Linked DNA regions of Mus musculus. The protein of the gene in region 1 purifies or fractionates together with the protein of each later gene. This does not show direct contact. Links are inferred from orthologs where the notes say so. Each region holds a gene or a part of one and is shown in the gene's direction. Other genes may lie near its edges. The genes, in order: Gnb5 and Gng2.

Region 1 (4,509 bases):
ATCTTTCATTTAATTTTTAAATACAGCTATTTCTTTTAAAACTACATTTATCTCTGGGGTCAGAACTCAGTGGTAGAGCAGTTGGCCCTGGGTTTGGCCCCAGCACCACACATGCACACGTGTGCAACTTAAGTTTTTTTTTCCTCTTTCTAATCAGTGTTCTAATATGCTTTTTAAATTTTTTTTCACGAAAAAAAAAAAAAAAAACAACAACAGAAGATATGGGGAAGCTCTTCCTTTTGAGAAATCCACTTTTCCCAGGTTTTGTGAGAACTAGTTATTCCTTCCCTCAAACTGTTTTCCTTCCCTTCAGAGAACTGAGTCCTCTGATGAGCACTCCTGACCCAGAGCTGAGACCCATCACTCTGTGCACCCCTAGCAACCTGACCACCCTCCAGTCTGATGGTCACAGGCAGTAGCTGTGACACCACAGAATGGTCCTCTCTGGGGCGACCGGTTGATTGTTCAGTACCACCTACTAAACGTGTAGTCATCCTACTGACATGATGGCTTTCCAAACTGTTCCCAAGTGCTGAAAATAGAACTTTATAATACTTAAATAAAATAAATTATTGAGCAAATTGGATGCACCATTTTTTTCCTACCATTGTAGATTACATGCCTTCTCACCGCACAGCTCTGTGTCTCTCCTTGAGGGTCAGACAGAAAGGTGTTAGAATTCCACAAGTCACAGTCTGTCACCTGAGGTATGGAAACCCTGCTGACTGTGTCTGGGGCCCCCTGGCCCCCTGGCAGGATGGGGTTGGCTGAGTTTCTGCTCCGTGTCCACTCCAGTCCTCCTTCACCCTGTGAGGAGTCACTATGCTAAGGTTCTGGTTTTCTGGCTTGAATTCATGCCCACTTTATAGCATTTACCTGGGTCGTGCACCAGTAACCTTGGCCATCCTGTAAGTTCCTAGAGGGCTGGACTCCATCGTATTCTACATTTTATCTGTAATGCTAGGTGGTGGGATAGAATTGGCCAGATCCCATGGCGATGACAAGGGTTCGAGTGTAGGAGACCTTGTTTGGAGACAGGAGACTTGAGGATAGCAATAAGTTGATACACAGAGGAGAAAGGAGAAGGCCTTACTCGGGGCCTAAATCACTCATGCCTAGGTTGGAAGGAAGGCCAGCGCTGAGAGATGCTCTCACCACACAGCACAAGGATGTCAGGTTTGTTCCATGGAGTAGAGGCAGATTTATAAGGTCAAATCAGATTCTGTCTCCTGCAGAGAGCAAAGAAATGGGCCCAGGAAGGGGTACATGGGAGTTATGAGGGGTCCAAATCATGTAGAGAGACAGAGTGTTCTAGAAGCGAGTGTGTGCTTGCAGGTAGTGAGAGGCCGGCAGTGAGCATGCGTGTGCAGATGGGGAGGAGCAGGCCCTGAGCTGCAAGTCCAGATAAAAGGGATTAGGTGACCAATGGCTCAAATCTTCACACCACCGCAGTAACCTCCCTCGTTTCTGGCCAGCCACCCCAGGTGTTCATTGCTCTGTAAGGTATGTACTCTTTAACCTCAGGGAACTTGTGCTCTCAATTTTGCATCAATGCCTGGATTCCTACAGACCGGGATCATGGGGATCCTGTGGTGGGTGCACAGTGGGGGGTGCTTATGTTCTGGTCTGTGTAAATTCTAATTTCTCTACAACCTTTGCGACTTTATCTCAAAACTATAAAGGGATTTTTTAAAAACAGATTAGTGTTGGCATCAGTAAACAAATTAAACATCTTTAAAATAGCTTCATTGGTTTTCAGAATTGGCCCAGCTGCAATCAAACCCCATGCGTACAGCTGATGGAGCAGATGGATGACCACAGTGGGTCTGTGGCGTCCACCTGCTCCTGCCTCAGCCCCGGTCTGTTGTATTCTGCTGCTTGAATCCAGTCCATTTCTGGTGAACATGCAAAATGTCCGGCCTGGGACTATTTGTGAACAAAGCTGATATGACAGTGGTAGGATTTTTTTAGAAAATAAATATGTATTTCTATTGACCTCAGGAGTAGTATTGCTGGGTTTCTCTCTCTCTCTGTGTCTCTCTCTCTCTGTGTCTCTCTGTCTCTCTGTCACACACACACACACACACACACACACACACACACACACACACACAGCAATTCTTTATATATGTTTGTTTCTGGTCAGTTCTCTATAGTAGTTGAACCACTTTGTACCCACACCGGATGTAGGCAATGAAAGCTGCTACATCCTCACCCATGCTTTGTATATCAGAAGTTTTTGTCTTAGATCTTTTTTTAATTATGTGCATGTTGGGGTGCGGGGTAGGTATAATAGTGTCGTTGCCTGGAGACCAGAAGAGGGTGCTGGATCCCCTGGAGCAGGAGCTACAGCAGTTGTCTACCTCACAATATGCACTCGAGTCCTTCGGAAAAGCAACCAGTGCTCTAACTACTGAGTCATCTCTCCAGCCCCTGTATATCAATTTTTTTTTAATTAGGTATCCTAGCCTCACCAGCAAGATGGCTCAGCAGGCCAAGCTAAGACACCAAACCCAAGAACCAGAGTTTGATATTCAGAACCCATATGGTGAAATGAGAAAACTGGTTACCAAAAATGTTTGCCCTTTGACCTCTACATGTTCTAAATATAATAAGTTTTAGGAATTCTTGGGTATAGCTAATTGTGTCACATTGTGGTTTTAACCTCTGACTCTGACCAATGATTCTGGGTAGCAGCTTTCTGCATGGGACTTGCCTGAATAGCCTCATTTGAAGAGTCACTACACAAATATTTTTGCCCACTTTTTAAAAAATTCATTGAGCTATCAGGCCCACAATATGAAACTCAGTATTTAAAATGTTTGGATGTTTTTTTCATCTATGCACAAGGATGTGCATGCCAGTCTTTGCTGTTATTTAACTCAGGGTACCCCGTCCCCCACCCCACCCCCAAATCCCATTGGCATGGAGCTATCTCTGATTCTCCCTTCGCTGCCTTCTCATCGCCCATGGATGAGCTCTCACTTGTCTTGTATGCCCTGGACACTCCTGTAATGGTACCATGTGGACATTTTGTCTTTAGACACAAAGATGTCTCTGGTGTGCATCATCTTGCAGTGAGAATCAGGGCCAAGTCTTCATTATTGCTAGATAACAAGCCTGCTTCATGGACATGCTATGTTTTCTCTGCCTGCTCTTCCCTTGATGGGCATTGAATTGTTTCCCTTGTTTACCTAAAAGCAATGCTACTTCAAACCCTCAGATGTGTTTTTAATGCCAGGGACATTTTGCTTTTGTTCTGCATTTTATGCCAGTGCTGGGAACTGAGCCCAGGGTCCAGCCTCACCTCACATTGTTTCTGGCATGTATTTTTTGACTCTGCATGTATCTGTGTGGACATGAGCATGCCACACACGTGGAGGACAGAAGACAGTTCTTGGGAGTCTGTCCTCTCCTTCTACCCTGTAGGTTCTGGGGATCAAACTCAGGTTGTCAGCCCTGGCAGCAGGCACCTCTACTTACCCACTAAGCCATCTCTGCAGCCCTTCCACATTCCAATTATTCAAACTAGTTATGCCAATGAAGACACTCCATGAGACCATGACTTGTGAACAGGTCCAGGACCTGCAGTTACAGGGCACACACTCAGTTATTTTCATGTCCTGTTTCCAGTTATTTATAATGAACATTATAAACGCTGTCTATGACTTGGAATTTAGACTAAGAAAAACAGTATTGTCTCTATTCAAACTTGGAACGTTAGCAATTTTTCAAGATCTTTTTCTTTATTTCTGATGAACTGCCCCCTGCCACCACACACACACCTATTCCTTCGTGACCTTTGTCCCTGGAGACGCTCTCAGCCTTCACTACAGTTCTTGAGAGTCTCTTCCTCTTAATCTCTCCCTCTGGTTCATCTCCCTGCAGTGCTCTCCCTGACCTACTTCTGGGAGAACAAATCCGAGCATGATGCACTTGAGGGATGTTCTTCCCTAATGCTATTACCTGATGTCTCAGCTTGACCTTGGGACTAGCAGCAGCCACAGCAGGGCTGGCGAGTAGGAGACATTCTCCAAGCTCTGCTGAGCACATTCTTCCATGTCCTCTGTGTGTGTGTTCATGAGTATATGCTTGTGTGCTCATAGAAACACGTGTGTGTGAACATGAGTATGTGCTTGTGTGTTCATGGGAACATGTGTGTGTGAATCCCCATGTGTATGTGTGTTCATGGAAACATTTGTGTTCATGAGTATGTGAGTGTGTGTTAATGGGTACATGTGTGTGTTCATAGGTAAATGAGTGTGTGTTTTCATGGGGGTCTGTGTATGTATGTGTTCATGGGCACATGTGTGTGTGTTCATGAGTTCGTGTCTGTGTGTGTGTGTGTCTCTGTGTGTGTGTGTGTGTGTGTGTGTATTCATGGATGCCTGTGTATGTGTGTTTGTTCATAGGTACATATGCGTGCATTCATAGGTATGTGTGTTTATGGGTACATATGTGTGTTGATGAATACATGTGTGTATGCATATATGTGGACATCTTCATGCA
Region 2 (4,502 bases), on another chromosome or scaffold:
CCCACACCCACAGTGACACACCCATTCCAACCAGGTCACACCTATTCCAACAGGCCATACCTTCACATGGTGCCACTCCCTGGTCCAAGGATATACAAACCATCACACCTGGGTTATCTTACTTGTATAATCCTGTCACCAGTCACCAGTGCTGGGACTCAGGTGCAGCCCCTGAGGTATCATGGTACAAAAGTATAAGGAGAGAGTTGGCTTTTGCGTGATTCCTGAGTTAAGTGGCTCTTTTGTTTGAGGCCCTGAGTGCTTTGCTCCTGGATCCCCACCTGCTAGCAACAGCTCTGTCAGCTCAGTTTTACTGACAACCCTGTCTACACATCTGGAAGCAGAGCTTATGCAGGTGGGACGCAGTCCTTCACTTAGGTCCTCTGGCTTAGCCTGATGAGCTCCAAGGTGGTGGGGCCCAACGTTGGGGTCCCGAGTGGCTGAGTGGTGGTGTTTGGGTCCGTGCCTGTCTATCCTCTCAGATGTTTCTGCCTTCCCTTGCAGGTGTCCAAGGCAGCTGCTGACTTGATGGCCTACTGTGAGGCACATGCCAAGGAAGACCCTCTGCTGACCCCAGTCCCAGCCTCAGAAAACCCCTTTCGGGAGAAGAAGTTCTTCTGCGCCATCCTTTAAGTCTCTGAGAGGAGGCTGAAGAGTGTTGGGGCTCCTGGGACATACATGTAGAGTTCCTAGCAAAGTGGGCGCCTTTCTCGTCCACAGCATTTAAAGAGAGGAAGGAGAACCATCCTGGACACTCCGGGCTGTGCATGTTTAAAGAAATGTCCCCTTATGAGAATGAAAGCTGATTCCGTGTCCCAACTTTAGAGATCTGACCCTGCAGACCGGCCTGGAGGAGGGAAATGTATAAAAAATGAGAATGGTAATCACTTCTTTTCTGCTGTCCCTCTAAGACATTTCTGCTTCATATTTATAAACAAAATAAACATTAAAGCCGGTGTCCTGAGCTGAGATATGGCTGACATTCTGGTAATGAGAATTGTCTTTCAAATACCCTCTGATAAGCTGTCGCCCCATGTAGCCACAATCCAGTTTAATGGTTTCCACGTTTAGTCTTTTGTGCCTTTTTCTTTTCCTTCCCTTTCTTCTCTTTTAGAGGGCTGAGAGGATAAGACTGGGTTTGTGTGTTAGTCTCAACTCCAAGCAGGAATGAACCCTGAGATGTTTAGAAAAGTGTTCCCCATGGGATTTCTTCATGAGAATAACAAGAAAATAGAAAGAAATACATACATGTACACACACACACATGCACGCACACACACACACCACACAATTCCGGCTCTCTGTGTTCTCTTACCACTATTCTTAATATTTGTATATGACAGTTTTGATTCTACGAGTTAAAGTGAACCACGTGTTGTGACTGGTGCTTCCATATCTGTGATAGTTTGTGAGTACTATTGCATGAACATGTCCCTACATCGCATCCATTCAGAAGTTTCGTTGTTCAGCTGTAAAGCTAAGAAGAGAAGTGAGAGAAAAAGAGGCCAGGGAGGAAAAAAAAAATCCTCTGTATTTTGAAAATTGGGATCACTTCAGCGCCTTAGCCATGCCTGAAATACCTCCTAGTGAACTGTGGTAGAAGTATCTCTTGACAGGTTTCCCCAGTCCGCAGCATTTGGACTTACCCAGGATCCAGGGCAGCACAGTTCCCCCCACGCCCCCAACTGGAGACCAGGCAGGGATCCACGATGACTTGGAAAAGCACTGTCAGAATAGCATCTCGTTCCCACGTCCCAGGAACAGTCGAAAGCATATGTAAAAGAACATGTTCCATGTTCATAGCTAGACAACCATGGCCCTCTTTAGCTCAAGCATCAGAAGAAATAAAGCCACAGCTCTAAGGGAGGTAGCCAGCCTCAGAATGCTCGTTTGAGAGACAAAGTCCCTGAATTGTGCTCCGACCAACCCTTGCAGTTGGCTCTCCTTCCAGCTCATTCCCCCAAAATTTCAAAGCATTCCCTGCTTTGCCCTCCACCCCGTTCGTCAGAGCCTCACCACTCTATTTACAGCTTCCTTTGGCTAGAGCTCTCCTCCCACAGTAAGACATTGAGAGTGAGTTTTTTTTTTCATGACAGTTGTCTCCTCCATCAGTAACAGAAGGCCTCGGCTGCCTTCAGACATTTTGTCATCTACCCAGTCAAAGAGAGCCTCTTACGATTCTTTTTGTTTTCAGATCCTAAAAGACCACTAAATCCAAGTAAAATTTCTTTTCTCCTCTTACCATTCTCTTCCTCATGGTTTAAAAGTTGGTGGTACTTTTAAAGGAAAGAGAAGGGAAAAAGACTTCCTATGGCAAGGACACATTTTACAAATAGATGGTAAGATATTTCTCTTAACTCTTTTATGGGCTTTCAGCTAAAGGAGTTAACTATGTCCAATTAAAGTTCAGACCTGGGGTGGGAGAGAAGAGGGTACCGGAATGATTATTAATGTACAAATGCAATTCTGTAGCCGAAAACTTCTGTTCCGGCAGAAACTTCTGTCCTCAGGAGTTTGTTATAGTTTGCGGGACGCTCATGAAGATTTAATGGTAGAAACAAAACAAAACAGACAAAAAGAACCACTGTCAGTCTTTAGAGAACTGCACTGTAATTCAATTATCAATACTGAGGGATCAGCTGAAAGTATCACACATTCAAAGTGAGCTGACATGAATCTGTGTTCACGTGTCAACAGCTGTGACTGGGGCACTCTGTGCTGGTTGGGGGTGGGGTACTCGAGGAGGATTCTGGACTTCTGTGTAAATTGAGATCTCTGAAGCAATTCCAGTGGAAACACAATCTTTAGGGCGCCCCTTATACAGGCCTAACAATTAAAAATTCAGAATTTGCAAATGACTTGTGAGCATGCTTATAGAATAAAAAGGCAGGAAACTCAATCCTCTTCCACATAGAAATTTCAGGAAAACATCTTTTTTACAATTTCATATCCTTCAGTATGGAGCTATAGCTGGAATCAGATTTGACTTCTTGATGTTTGTATTTATTAAAGGGAAAAAGGTTTGTTTACTTGGATCTCCAAAGAGCTTAATTCTTTTCAACGTGAACCATCATTGTCACCAGCATAATTTTACCTTAGGGTAACTAATAGGAAACTTCAGTTTAACTGTTTAAGGCCCTCATTTCTATATACCTGTATAACAATTACAATCTGCCATGGAATTAATAATTAATGTCATACTTATAATGCAGTGTCTATTAAAATACCTGAACCATTTTTAATAATCAACTCCGATTTTAAATGTTTTTACATTCGAAGGTAAAATATAATTTAAATCATTGGATTTAAGAAGACGTATCATACTTTTTCCCATATCCTTGTATTCACACGGTGAGTTTTGAGAAAATCAAGCTGGTGACCTTTAGTGTGTTTTTTTATGTTTTTTTCCCCTTGGTGTTTATTTCTAGCTGCTCCTGCAAATGGCGAATTATATGTATATTACTGTCTCACAGCCCAACAATTGTACAATTGTTCAGAGCTTAACACTTTTCCTGTATAAGATCTGTGGAATGTGTCTTTAAAGAGGGGAAAACAGAAAATGGGGGGTCTTGTGTTTTGGTGGGGTTTTTCCTTTTTGGGTTTTTTTGTTTGGTTGTTTAGTTGGGTTTTTTTGTTTTGTGTTGGTTTTTTGTTTTTTCAAGACAGGGTCTTACTATGTGGCTCTGGCTGTCCTGGAACTTGTTCTGTAGACCAGGCTGGCCTCGAACTCAGAGATTCCCCTGTCTCTGACTCGAGAATAAAGGCATGAGCCACCACACCCAGCTTAGAAATGTTAAAGCAGGAAAACCTGAATGTGATGTGCGCATCTTTACCCCACATGAACGGTGTATTTGTTTTAATAAATGGAATTTTCAGATTCATTTCCTACGGGGTCACTTTCATTGCAAAGACCTGTGGACCACCTCCCACATGAGTATTGATTTAAGAGGGACCTGGAAATATAAAATGTCGGGAAAACAGAGAAAATTATTTTCTTTAGGAGTCTGTTCATAGCAGATTTATCTGGTGCTGTGTAGGAGTCCTCTCCCTTCGTCACTGTGCCTCATGTACAGCCCTTGGGAATGGAGAAATACTGGAGGGAGGGTCTTCAGAGTCCTGCAGGCTAGGAGAGAGAGAGAGAGAGAGAGAGATGTAAGGAGATTTTAACTTGCTGTAGCTGCACAATAATGCCACCCCACCCCCACCCCACTCAGAGTGTGTTATTCTCTGTCTGTGATTTTACAACTATACTAGAGAAGACAGAGCCCTCAGATTCTAGATTCAGTCAACAAAGGCTTCTCCCCTCAGGATGGGAATTGAACCTATGGTTGCATAAATGCCGAGAAAGTTCAGTGAGCTAGATGCTTAGCTCTTCCTCTGCTTTAAAAAAACTCGAACAGGATCTTGCCTTATTGCTCAGACTGACCCTGAACTCAGTCTATAACCCAGGCCGTGCTCACACTTGTAATCCTCTTGCCTCAACACTGCCCCCCCACCCCCCC

What was found.
Region 2: the proteins of Gnb5 (region 1) and Gng2 purify together in Homo sapiens (affinity purification with western blotting; 4 studies listed by BioGRID and IntAct, with this or other methods). This does not show direct contact. The link is inferred for Mus musculus from reciprocal best matches to the Homo sapiens genes GNB5 and GNG2.

What each region holds. Positions count from the first base shown.
Region 1 is NC_000075.6:75,304,871-75,309,379, forward strand, and holds the start of Gnb5 (guanine nucleotide-binding protein subunit beta-5), read left to right. Parts: upstream 1-1,417; 5' UTR 1,418-1,503; exon of another isoform or gene 1,504-2,615; intron 2,616-4,509. UniProt on the Homo sapiens protein: Enhances GTPase-activating protein (GAP) activity of regulator of G protein signaling (RGS) proteins, such as RGS7 and RGS9, hence involved in the termination of the signaling initiated by the G protein coupled receptors (GPCRs) by accelerating the GTP hydrolysis on the G-alpha subunits, thereby promoting their inactivation.
Region 2 is NC_000080.6:19,871,938-19,876,439, reverse strand, and holds the end of Gng2 (guanine nucleotide-binding protein G(I)/G(S)/G(O) subunit gamma-2), read left to right. Parts: intron 1-504; coding exon 505-633; 3' UTR 634-3,881; downstream 3,882-4,502. UniProt on the Homo sapiens protein: Guanine nucleotide-binding proteins (G proteins) are involved as a modulator or transducer in various transmembrane signaling systems.